Oryzias latipes: one gene and its partners. The protein of the gene in region 1 interacts with the protein of each later gene in a pairwise test. Links are inferred from orthologs where the notes say so. Each region holds a gene or a part of one and is shown in the gene's direction. Other genes may lie near its edges.

Region 1 (3,705 bases):
ATTTACGTGGGAGACCTTTCACAATTGGGGGCTGACTGAATACTTTTTTGGTCCACTGTTGATCTGGCGAAAGTCTTGAACAGGATAAGATGCAAAGAGGACACAGATTCATTACATCCTGAGCAGCTGATTTCTTTTAAAGGTCTTTGCAAAAGTGGCTTTGAAAAGTTGGAAAGAGTTCCTGCGATGTTTGTATTTAGTCACTTACAGGCCAGATTCATAGTTTGATTTAAAAATGCTTGGATTATTACTACAGAAGGCTTGGAAGTCCCTAATAAAATGCTCCTCTATGTTGTGACCTTCAGATGACATCCTGGAAGCAGTGGGCTTTAAATCGGGGTCGTCCACTCCTCAGAGGTCCGGCTCCACTGCAGGTCTCCACAGACCCAGGCTGAGCATTGACTTTGCAAGCCCAGCCAACGATGTGCCTCAGCTTAGCTCCTCCCTCCCGGGATCGCTGTCCGGCATTTCCCCCCTCCTCTCCCCGCGGCAGGGATCGCACACCATGGACTTCTTTGAAATGTGTGCCAGTCTGATCACCACGCTTGCGCGCTGAGGTGTGTTGACCTTTGCTGTCAGCAGAATGTTGGGTTGAAAGTATCTGCCGATCTGGGAGGTGGAGAACTAAATGTAGTGTTTGTATAGCGTGCAGAAAGGAAAGAGGGAGACAAACGGTCATTTTTTTGTGTCAATACTATTGTTCGGTCTGAGAAAACAGAGCCTGAGATCCCACTCTGCTCATGATGTCACTGAAGCAGAGAAGCGTGAAGGAACAGGTCAGTGTCGTGTCAAAAACAACATCTGATGGTAAAACCTGCAGCGGTGTCCACGGCAACACCACTCCATCGGGGGTTTTACTAAAGAAGCTTTGGTTATGTTTCTTATTAGAAAGCTTTAAAAGTGTTGACACACAAGCATCATTTATTCATCACGCAAATAATGCAATTATTTAGGTATCAAATGGTTATTTATTTTTGAAAAAAATTACAAAGTTTGTCCTTTAAACATTTCATTAAACCAAAGGTCAATCTGATTTAAAGGTAGAATGTAGATAAAAACAACAAAACAAGGTGCATTATCGCCGTGACTGCGTTAGCTGGAGCAGCAGAGCTTGTCGACGTTTTTTCCTTTCGTTTGTTCAGGAGCTGCAGTGAGTCCCTGGTGTCGGGACACAGGCGTGATTGTTCACACAACAGCAGCAGTTACTAACTAACACGCAGCACGTCATCTGTTTGTAAGTGCTGCTCGATTAGCACAGTAAAGCCTTTAGCCACCGCTCCTACGGGGGGATGTGGGCTCTCTGCAGGTGGAAAATGGGTAAATCTGTACAGGGCACGGAGGAAATATCAAGGTCATACCCCGCCCAGTGACCCCGAAGAGCAAAAATGTTCAAGCACATTTATTCTACGAGCATTCTGCAAGGAAACCATTATACGAAACGTAAGGGTAAGGTGAAGGGGAGGTAGGTGAGACGCAGGCGTGTCTCACAGATTTTTTACCCCAGGACAAAGTGACATTACTTCTACATCTAAGCGTATCACACCTCAACAAACAGTAGAGTGTAGCGTAAGGTCATCGTACAACAGCATCACCCGCATGTCATGAGTACGTGGAACTTACATCATCACTACGACTACTGTTCAATAGACTTATCACACCCGTGGCAATGGTACGTTCCATTTTCATGACATCCCTGAAGGTGGCGTCGCGAGCCTGAAGGGAACTGCAAGACACACCTGCGCTCCCCTTAAGATGCAGCCCCTCCTCTCTACGACCCTCCATGGGCCCGGACAGCCCAAAAACCCGCAGCACCTGTAGCCTTTAGATTATGAAAAATAGTTCAGAAACACACTGAACCCTATTGTCTCCCTTATCCAGTGTGTAGATAGTGGACACAGAAGGACAACGGTTGGGTGAAATGGTGTGTATGTCCTGCAGGAGGAGATAAGCCACAACCCCCTTTTTCCAGCTGCCTGAGAAAGTGCAACTCATTGATTTGTGCAGGTGGAAATGTGTGACCTGATTGTGTGTGCGTGTGTTTCCTGGATTTCTTCACTGATGTTTGGTGAGCTGAAGTTGAAGTGTAGACGCGTGGAGCTTAAAGAGAGGCTGCAGGGGTCGGCCATGAAGCAGAGCGGGGTCAGAGGACTGCTCCGCCTCCGCTCGGGCTGCACTTCGAAACCTGTCTCCAGGTCAGATTGGCTCTTCACTGCATCACACTCCATCTGTTGTCTGTGTTCACGCTGATGTCCCGTTTCCGCTCAAACGCTCATCTCAGAGGCAGAGGATGTGCTGCAGTGCCTGTTAGTTTAGGTTGTGTGGCTGACTGAAGGGCTTTGTTGTGATCATTTATACAAATGACAGTGTCACTTTAGTTTTGCAAAATGTTTCTTCTAATCTCAGACTTAGTGTGTAGCGGCTCAGAGCCTCTCTGTTTGAGTCAGTCCGGCCTCAAAGGTCGCGCTGCTGATTCCGGCTGCAGCATCTCAACATTCTCTTTGGGTTATTCTGGCAAATGAAAGTGGAGCCCTGAGCAAGTGAGAGGCAATAAGTCCTGGGGCCTGCTTTTGATGGGGTGAACATGCAGGGTTTGTTGCAGCACTGCTGTCCTGTTCTCTGCTGCTGAACACAAGTGGAGCGAGGGCTTTTTCACAGCCGGTCAGGCCTCCGCTGAAGCTGCGACCTTCCTGGGTTTCCGTCTCTGACTCTGCTGCCTTTCTGCTCATGCACACATGCAACGTCCGTGCACACCTGCCTGTGTGTGCACGGAGCAGCCATCCCTCTGCCAACATGGAAGCACGCCTGCTTCATGATTACTGTCAGACACAGCAGCTACGCAGCCACAAGCGGCACGCTGGTTCTGGAAGCTGGTCTGGAGCAGAACCACATCCGACACCAAAGTGAGTGGGGAACTGAATAGCCGTGACCTTTAACCCCTCCCTGTCTGCCCCCTGTACACGGCGGCTCCTGGGGGACGTGCACAGACGTGAACTCTGGATTGGTTTTGCCGTGCGCTGCATGATCCTGCTGTTATGATTTGCACTTTAATGAGTATTTATTGACAATAAAGACAAAGATACAAAAACAACACTTTTGCTTCTCAGGCTTTTGTCAACACAAACGCACACTGGTGAAGGCGAACACACCCCAGATGCCCTCACCAGGCTATGATGGAGAAACCTGGCAAAGCAAAGGAATCCGGGACAGAAAAAGGATTCCTAAAAGGGTGGTCCTGGTATGAAGACATCCAGATGTGCAAAATAACAGTCTGTGTAGCTTATTTCCATGCAGTTACAAATAATGACATGAACCTGACGCATTAAAAGGAGTGTGTACTTAAATAGCATAACGCTGAATGTTTCACGGAGGACGAAGAAAGGAAGAAGAGAATGAACGCGCAGAAATAAAGCTGACTGTGATCAGGCTTGACAAGATACTCTGTCCGTTTTCAGGCAGGAGCTCAAGGACGGGTCTTCAGGATTCTAACCCTTGACAGTGGGACAGTGTTTGGAACAGAAGTTTAGTCTTTTTATTGTTGAGCAGATCCTGTAAAGTTCTGCTTCTCCGGTTTACATGGTTGTATAAAGACGAGCCTGAATGTTCACCCGCTCGTTGGACGTGATGGTGTTTTGAAATTCCTCTGATCCAAAGTTCAAAGTCAGAGGGTCATTTTCACATGTGCAGAGAGATTTCCAGCATCCTTAG
Region 2 (4,094 bases), on another chromosome or scaffold:
CCAAATTTGATTGAGTGTTCTTGACCCAGTTTTCCCTTTGCTCATAGTTTTAGGTAATGGCTTTATATTGTTAAATTCCAACAAAGATGAAACTTTCACCTCTGCTTAATCAAGATTGTTGCCCCATAAAGCAGGTTTAGAGGAGGGATCGATGGATGCCACTATAACTTGACTTTAAGTACACTTTTAAGACTCAGACATGATCAGGATTCATGCATTATTATTATGATGTATAAATTAAGCAACATTTTGACACGTTACATTTGTGAGAAAGCAGCAAATGTCTATTAACGATGCGCTCTACAATGAAAATATGTGATATCCTAATTTTTTCTTCTGACTGCCTTACTTTAAGTCCCTCTCTGATCATCTTTTTTATTTATTTTCAGAGCGTTCCCACTGAACTTTTACCTGGGATTATGCAGTTTTTAGCTCCAAACAAAAAACCTGTCTCGTTTTCTAGGACATAGTTTCTGCAGAGCAGCAGTAGTTCGTTCGAAATTCCCCTCTGAGTTGTGTGTGTGTGTGTGGGGTTGTTGTTTACACTCTCTCTCTCGCTGGCTTTCAGCCGGCACATCCCCAATCTGACATTACAGGTGTTACAAAGATGGCGAGCAGTGTTTGAGCAAGCCAGCCATGCAGTTTTGAGCCAAATGCCAGCTCAGATGAGGGAAGAACAAAGACGAACACAAATATATTTGTCTACAAGTGGATGCATCAGAATGCAGCGGAGCAGGGAGCTTGTGACTCGCCGTCTTAACTTGTACATCACACTTACAAGCTTTTTCAAACAGCCTTTTATGTCTGCTCCTGATTCACAACGATTTGAAAAAAGAAATACTCAGAAATGCAATTTTAAGATTAATTTTCTTTCCATCATGAAACAAACATGATAAAATCACCCAAAACACAATTTTCATCAGAGTGTGTCTCTGTTTTTTAAGTCAGAGCTAATATTTTTCCACGAATCAAGTTTTTTTTTTTTTAAATAATTGCATGCATTCATATATATACCTAAATATAGACACAAACAAATGTTAAAGATGTGCTAATGTGAAGCTATTGCCTCAGCTAATGTTTATTGTGAACAATATACTTTGGACTTTTTATATGTTAAAAATAGCAAACTTTTAGAGTATCCATTCATTTTAGTTAATTAACAGAAATGTTAACATTTAAGCTGCATCCATCAACTGTGGCTGTCTAAGGAAAAATTTCAGCCAATCGGATCACAGCGCGAGCGAGAATAGCGTCACCTGTTAGCTAACACCTGCAGCTGGACGAAGTGGTAAGAACATCTATTTGACGAATAAAAAAAGACAGTTGCGGTGATAAAATATTACTATATTTAAATATGTGACTTTAAACTTATATTTACGCATTATTAATCGAATATTTAAAGATAAGACGAGGGCTTTGAATCTTTATTTATTTACTCGCTAGCTAGGTAGCTAGCTAATTGTAGCCAGTGACGTCTTTTTAAAAATTAACAAGTTGAACTTTCTTTCCTTCTGACTCATGGAATAAAAAAGAAAAATAACCCACAAAACTTTAACATTTGTAAAAACAAGCCATACTAGCCTAGAAACTAGTCTAAAAACACACATTTCAACAAAAGCTTATTTTATTTGGAATAATAAGGGTATCCAATACTAATCATCACTTTAAAAATCCAAATGTTATGAGAACAATATAAATTTAATTAGGCAAATTTTCGATTCCCATTAATATTTATTAACATATTAAAACCTTCTTAAAATTTGGTATATGCAACAGTATTTTACACAATATCAACCAAATTATTACACCTTTTTGAAGGGAATTTAATACTGATCCCTTAAACCACATGTGTCAAACTCAAGGCCTCAATTAAAATATTTTAATTTCTTAAAATATTTTTTTTTTGTCGATTACATATTATTTATGTGTAGCTGCTGTTGTAATTATTCAATGTTTGTGTGTATGCAGACAAATTGTCATCAAACCATCAGTTGGATGCAAGGCTGTGTGCAGCCTTTTTTTGTCAAATGTTATACATGCTTAATACATAATATTTTTAGCTCAGTTTGTTATTTTTCTTTATTTTTTGTCTTTATCATATCTTTATCATTACTGGAGTTATGTGGATTTTAATAACCAGACAAAATTTAAAAGGATTCATGCTAGAGTAACAAGCCAAGGGATGTTTTAAATGTAACTGTAATTGTCAGTTTAAAAATGTATAATCAATAAATAATAAGTTATTTAACCTCAAGGAGAAGTTACATTTATTTTTCATTACATTTAGTTACATGTATAAGTCATATATGGCCCTTTGAGGACAGCTCATATGCTGATGTGGCCCTCAGTGAAAATGAGTGTGACACCTCTGCTAGACAATCAAACATTCAGAGACAGACTTTACTTTTGGGTTGTTAGAATGACAACATGGACCGGAACTTTATTTTTTTTTAATACAGTTGTTTGTGGGGAAATGTCATATTTATAAAAGTTAATGGTCAAACTTAAAACCTAAATTTGTTCTTTTTCTTTTTCATTAATTAATGCAATATGGTAATAATTTCTGACCAATTCAAACAGAATTAGGCAGGTTCAACCAATGTAATTTTTAAAGGTACACTTTTTATTTAAACCCTGTAGCTCAATTTTATTTATTTAAAAAAATAAATGGAGGGGGGGTTTCTTTACTTTGGCCCTATACCTCATGGCGGGTTAAAAAACAAAATAACTTTTTCTGCTTGCTGTCGTTCAAATGGGGAACGAGTGTCTACAATGATTGTTTAGTGGTGAGGTGCAAACAATCAAATATTAGGATGCTTTATTAAGTTGTTCTCTCAGAATCTCCATATTTAAAAGAAACTAGTCTTGTTAGTTTGATATTTAATTATCTGTAGCAAAGAGGACTAGTATTAACTTTTCTATACACACAAAATCCTTTACTTTTTATACCCCTTGACTGATTTTATCACAAAGAATTTGTTGTTTAATGGTCACAGTCAGTATTTCCTGTCAACAGCTGTCACTTTGCACGGGTCTCTTTACTGAAACCATTGCTGTACCTTTCAGTCATGGCCATGTCTCTCTGTGACGACACACTGCTGTGTAACTTCCCCAAGTGTCGGAGCAAGTTGAGCGGCTTCGCTTGGGTCACGGCGTGCTCCCACGTCTTTTGCGACCAGCATGGATCTGGCGAGTTCAGCCGCTCCCCTGCCACCTGCCCCGCCTGCTCCTCTGCGCTGTCCGGCAAGCTGGACATCGTGAGGACAGAGCTCTCTCCATCTGAGGAGTACAAAGCCATGGTGTTGGCCGGTTTGCGGCCGGACGTAGTTTTGGACATCTGTGCTCGTGCCTTGGCCTTCTGGAGCTACCAGGTCACTTTTTAACTTAGTTAGTATCCCTCTGCGTCTTACAGCTTTGATTTTATTTTTTTATTTTTTCCTGACAGGTCCATCAGGAGCGCATGTATCAAGAATACAGTCTCTCCCGCGCTGAAGGACAGCTGAAGCAGATGGACAAGCTCCTGACCCAGCAGAACCAGAGCAGAGAGCTGGAGCTCTCATCCATGAGAGGGGAGATCACATCCCTGAAGAAAGTGATGGAGGAGTATAAGAGGAAGTACAGCGAGGTGTCCGAGAGGCTGATGGAGAGAAACAGGCAGTACCAGAAACTGCAGGGGCTGTACGACTCCCTGAGGCTGCGGAACATGGTGGTGGATGTGGGTGAGAGGGACACACAGCCCCAAACAGGACATCAAGACTTAAACCACGGTAAGAGGACGTCCCTGTCTCATTTGGGCCACGTTTTAAGGCAAACATGAAGAAAAAAGCTTAATTGATATCAATAACTTGCAGCATGTTTTTCTGACTTGGAAAGTGTCTTGTGTTATAATCACTCAGGGGCATAAAAAAATTTCTGAATTTATTTAAAAAATGTAATTAAGATAAATCATTTTTTTGAATTTTAAGTCCATGTTTAGAACAGGAAATAGTCACAGCAAGAGCAGCGTTAAAACCCCTAAAAGAGCGCTGAACCGTTAGGTGTTTTGATCAAAAGACACCTCCAGAGAACGGGCAGCAGGAGTTTGAAGCCGATTC
Region 3 (4,199 bases), on another chromosome or scaffold:
GTTCTAGGCAGGACTGTTGGTGCTGAGAAAGCCTGTCCTCGTTTCCCAACATCCATTTGTTTACACTCTGTCCTGCTAGCTTACAGCCCCTCACAACCCCAACTTAACATTGGCAGTGCAACAAAAAAATGTGATCTATTTGTCTGCAATTGGATGCATCAGAACGGAACAGAGCATGGAATTTGTGCCCCCCGACTTAAGCACCTACTTCACTGCTACGTGTTTTTTAAAACTGCATTTTTTCATCTGCTCCTGCTTACAATGATTTGAACAAAGAAATACCCAGAAATGCAGTTTTGAACACCAAAAAACACAATTTCACTTGCTCTCCTCTGTGTAGCAGCAGTGCGCATGCGCGTGTGCTCACCTGAACGCGCCGAAGCACACGCTCCCGATCATATAGAAAAGAGAATAAAATATCAGCAGGCAGAGCAGGAGATTGAGCAGCACGGTCTGCAAGACAACACACGAGATGGTCATTTATTCAGTCTAAGATGTCAAGCATGTAATTTCACGTCCTGGGTGTGAGAAACCTGCCGGTTTGTAATAGAGAACATAGTGTTAAAGCAGACTGACTTCGCTTCACTAACAGCGCCTATAACACAAGTAAACCTGGCGTTATAATAAACACATAACACAACTGTGTCATATAATTTGTTAGTATCTGACATACATTATTGTCACTCGACAGACAGAATCGAAAAACATAATTTTAAGTGTTCCAGCCTCGCAGCACAGCACGGCGATGCCCTCCTCTTACCTTTGAATCGACCGCTTTGCCTTTGAATGCCATCTCATGATTTGCACTTGACGCTATACTGGAAAAATATTGCAGAAATGCAGACTGCAGCAGACGCCGCTAATCCTTCACAAACTGGACTCGGCGCGCCATCTAGCGGCAGAGAGGAGACAAGAGGCGGCGCCGCTACACGCCGCTATTATGGTCGAGCTGAACTCATTTCATTTCGTGTCAGAGCGACCTTTGTTAACAAAACAAGAGCTGTATTTTTGGTGTGCAGATTTATATTCATTTAATATAATGGCGTCTCAAAAATGTAGGTGAAATATTAGTTTGGGTAAAAATGCTGCCTACTAAATGAAAAAGAAGGTAATAGAAACGCCAAAACAATCTGGGTTAGCCGCTCAATATTTAGTACTAACACGGGATAAATAAGTCTTAGTAGTACCAGGACTTTTAAACTGAAAATATACAAACAAAACCGCACCGCGCAAATCGAGCTTTTCAAGTTAAAATCACTAAATCTGCATTCAATGATAGAAATGTTGTGATAGCGGCTTTTAAATCAAACATTCTGTTAATATCCGGGGTTAGTTTGGTGCATTACTTTGTCAGGTTCGGTACTTGTACAAACAGGAGGATGGGATGTTTAAGTCCGTTTTTATAGCCGTAGACTGCGGCCAGAAACGACAGTGTTACTAAAGAGCACCGGTGCACCGTCCCGTGATGCATTTGACTTTTTTCAAGTAGTCCTTTCGCTATTTTTGCGCACATTAGCGCATGTTAGCTCGAATACGACACGGAGACTTGGCTAATCGGAGCGCATTAGCACGGACTGTACTGCCAGAGAGTAACGTGGTTCAAATGGGCACGTAAACTGTTTGAACACAGAGGAACTAGACGCTTCTCGACGGTTAATGGAGCGCTGCGGTCCTGCGCTTTATGATACTCCTAGTTCTTGGTGACTTCATAGACTGTTCGTGTTCGGGGTGGGAAGGGGAAAGAGGAACCCCCCGTATCCTGCTGGGAGTATTATTATACTGGTACCGAACTGGGGTTTGGGCGCGTGCTTTGCGCACGCGTGCCTGCTATTGACCACTAAAAGTAAATTGAACTTTTCCGAGACCCAAAGTTGTCAGGCAGCGCATCTTGCACGCATGCGCATCGTCTATCCAGCTCTAAATAAGAGTTAAAACAGAAACGAGGTGAGTTCCACAATTTTCAAAACATTGCGGGCCTTAAATATTATTTATTGACGCGAACGTGGGCTAAATTTAGGGGGAAAACGGAGTTTAGTTTGATAAATAACATTAGTTTGCGTTATTTCCACTCTGATTCAAAACGGCGAGAATAAATCGTTTCTTTTTTCAAGTTTCTATTGAAGAAATAAATCAAGCAACAATGTTTAAGCTTATAACAGTGGCACGATCTTATTGTTTGAGTGCATTTAATATTTTGTTTGAGATCTGCGTTTCGCAAAGGCGTTTTCCCGGTGTTATTAAGTGGGAAACTTATTTATTACGGATCGTCCTTAGCTGGCTGCTTACAGTCACAATGCTAGGGCTAGCCGTGTAGCAGTTACCCGTTCATCTGAAGGGAGGAGGGGGCTAGCTAACTGTTAGCTGCAGCACTAGCTGCTGTAGCAAGCTGGGTTGACATTCCGTGACAAGGGGAAAGTGAAGAAAAATGAGCAGAGTGAATAAAAACACCATCTTGGGAATTACACGGAAAACGTCTGCATTTATTTGACGCACTACAGCTTTGCGATATTTGTTTAAACCGGTAACTTGAGTAATTAACATAGTTTGAACGTGTTGGTGGCCTCTTCCAATGCTCCGCCATTTTGTATAAGACGAATGCTAATCATCATGGGCGCTCTTAGAGACACTTTTATTTATGGCTGGAATAAAACTGAGGTTTCCGGCTTGAAGCCAAACTTGACCAACAATCCATAAGCTAGGATTGTTGTTCACTTTAACACTGGTTATTGCCGCGGCACAAACCAAAAATATCACCTTAATTCGGTGTTGAACATGCGTCAAGACTAAAACGTTTTTGCAGAATAACAGACTTCTTTAAACGTTTTTAAGTTTGGCTAGTGAGTGCAGAAAACAATGTTCTCTGTGAAATGGATGACTAAATATCCGCCTTACTTGCTCGTCACCCGGGAAACAGTCATCTTTAAGAGATACTGTTAAAACAAGGAAAAGATGAACTTGTGTGTTTAATTTAAAGTTGAGACATTTTTCGCCGGGCTTGTCAATGGTCTTGGTCACGGTTTACCCCAACGAGGTCGTTTGTGCGCGTATTTGCCCCTTAGTTTGCCGGTAAAACTGCATTATTATTGACTGTTTTTGTCTGAAATCGAAGTGCATGGTGTACCCGGCGAGCCGGCTCGCCGTCGCCATCTATTGGTGATGTTGCGTAAGGCTGTTTACAAGTGCAGAGAGGAGCTGCTTTTGGTGATTTCGGCTGTTTTCTCGTGTTAAAAACCCTGTCCAACTTTAACAACACAATAAAATGTTTCATCTTAGTCCTGCTGATCGGTTCTATGCATTTGGGTTCCATTGCACATTTCTTTCTTTTGTCACAGTGGTTTCTTGTTACAGGGTGGTCGTATCAGTGGAGTGGGGATGACTGACACTCCACCCAGTGATGGAGCCTCTCAGGGAGCTGAGTTTGACATGATGGGAGCCCTCGACTGGAAAGATGGGATAGCCACTCTGCCAGGCAGCGACATAAGGGTACAGTTCAGGTTTTTTCTGCATTCTGGTCTTTTTTTTTGTACAAAAATTGTCATCATTTTAACTCATGGTGTTTTATATAGTGAATTATCTTGATAATTTGGCCATTGAAATAATCAAAATACAATGTTATCTAGAAAATGGTCATTATATTCAATCAGCTGTTTTTTCTGTTGCTGTTTTCCCCCCTTGGTGCTTTAGTTCCGCATGACAGAGTTTGGGACTCTTGAGATTGTCACAGATCTGGAGGTCAAAGGGCAGGAGGCCGTGTCTAACAGTGAGACCTTGGACCCTGCGCCATCTCACACTCCCACCCCTCCACCAGAGGCCCAATCACAGACAGGCTCAGCTACAGCTCCAGCCAATCAGAATAAAACAGGATCAACTCAAACTAGAGGTATAAAAGCTTGTGTCAAACATTACTTTTATAAAGAACTACACTTTTCAGTTTGTAGAATACACTTTTTTTCCCTATAGTGATTTCTGGACACTGCATCCCCCTTTTATTTGCTCAGTGTTTCAGCGTTTAGTCATGTGTTTGTGTCTTTAGAGGAGGGTGGCAGCACGGAGGCCCCCAACATGGAGGTTGGTCCCAGTCCAGACGTTGGTTCCAATGCAGAAACAGGGCCTAAAGGAGAGCTGCTGAGGTGCAGGGCCTGCGGTGGTCGTGTTTCTGGAGTTGCCCTCTTTCAGGGCAAATTCTGCAGCTCTGCGTG

Evidence for each region. The genes of interacting proteins can lie anywhere in the genome.
Region 2: the proteins of prkaa2 (region 1) and ccnb1ip1 interact in binary tests that used the Homo sapiens proteins (3 or more experiments, as listed by UniProt). The two-hybrid records come from large-scale screens. The link is inferred for Oryzias latipes from reciprocal best matches to the Homo sapiens genes PRKAA2 and CCNB1IP1.
Region 3: the proteins of prkaa2 (region 1) and l3mbtl3 interact in binary tests that used the Homo sapiens proteins (3 or more experiments, as listed by UniProt). The two-hybrid records come from large-scale screens. The link is inferred for Oryzias latipes from reciprocal best matches to the Homo sapiens genes PRKAA2 and L3MBTL3.

Annotation. Positions count from the first base shown.
Region 1 is NC_019862.2:3,542,356-3,546,060, forward strand, and holds the end of prkaa2 (5'-AMP-activated protein kinase catalytic subunit alpha-2), read left to right. Parts: intron 1-305; coding exon 306-556; 3' UTR 557-3,088; downstream 3,089-3,705. UniProt on the Homo sapiens protein: Catalytic subunit of AMP-activated protein kinase (AMPK), an energy sensor protein kinase that plays a key role in regulating cellular energy metabolism.
Region 2 is NC_019876.2:17,647,470-17,651,563, reverse strand, and holds the start of ccnb1ip1 (E3 ubiquitin-protein ligase CCNB1IP1), read left to right. Parts: upstream 1-1,187; 5' UTR 1,188-1,288; intron 1,289-3,066; 5' UTR 3,067-3,068; coding exon 3,069-3,371; intron 3,372-3,445; coding exon 3,446-3,767; intron 3,768-4,094. UniProt on the Homo sapiens protein: Ubiquitin E3 ligase that acts as a limiting factor for crossing-over during meiosis: required during zygonema to limit the colocalization of RNF212 with MutS-gamma-associated recombination sites and thereby establish early differentiation of crossover and non-crossover sites.
Region 3 is NC_019874.2:17,836,641-17,840,839, forward strand, and holds the start of l3mbtl3 (lethal(3)malignant brain tumor-like protein 3), read left to right. Parts: upstream 1-1,292; 5' UTR 1,293-1,944; intron 1,945-3,348; 5' UTR 3,349-3,372; coding exon 3,373-3,483; intron 3,484-3,684; coding exon 3,685-3,880; intron 3,881-4,033; coding exon 4,034-4,199. Other genes in the region: transmembrane protein 244, read right to left, coding at 368-453, 761-793. UniProt on the Homo sapiens protein: Is a negative regulator of Notch target genes expression, required for RBPJ-mediated transcriptional repression. It recruits KDM1A to Notch-responsive elements and promotes KDM1A-mediated H3K4me demethylation.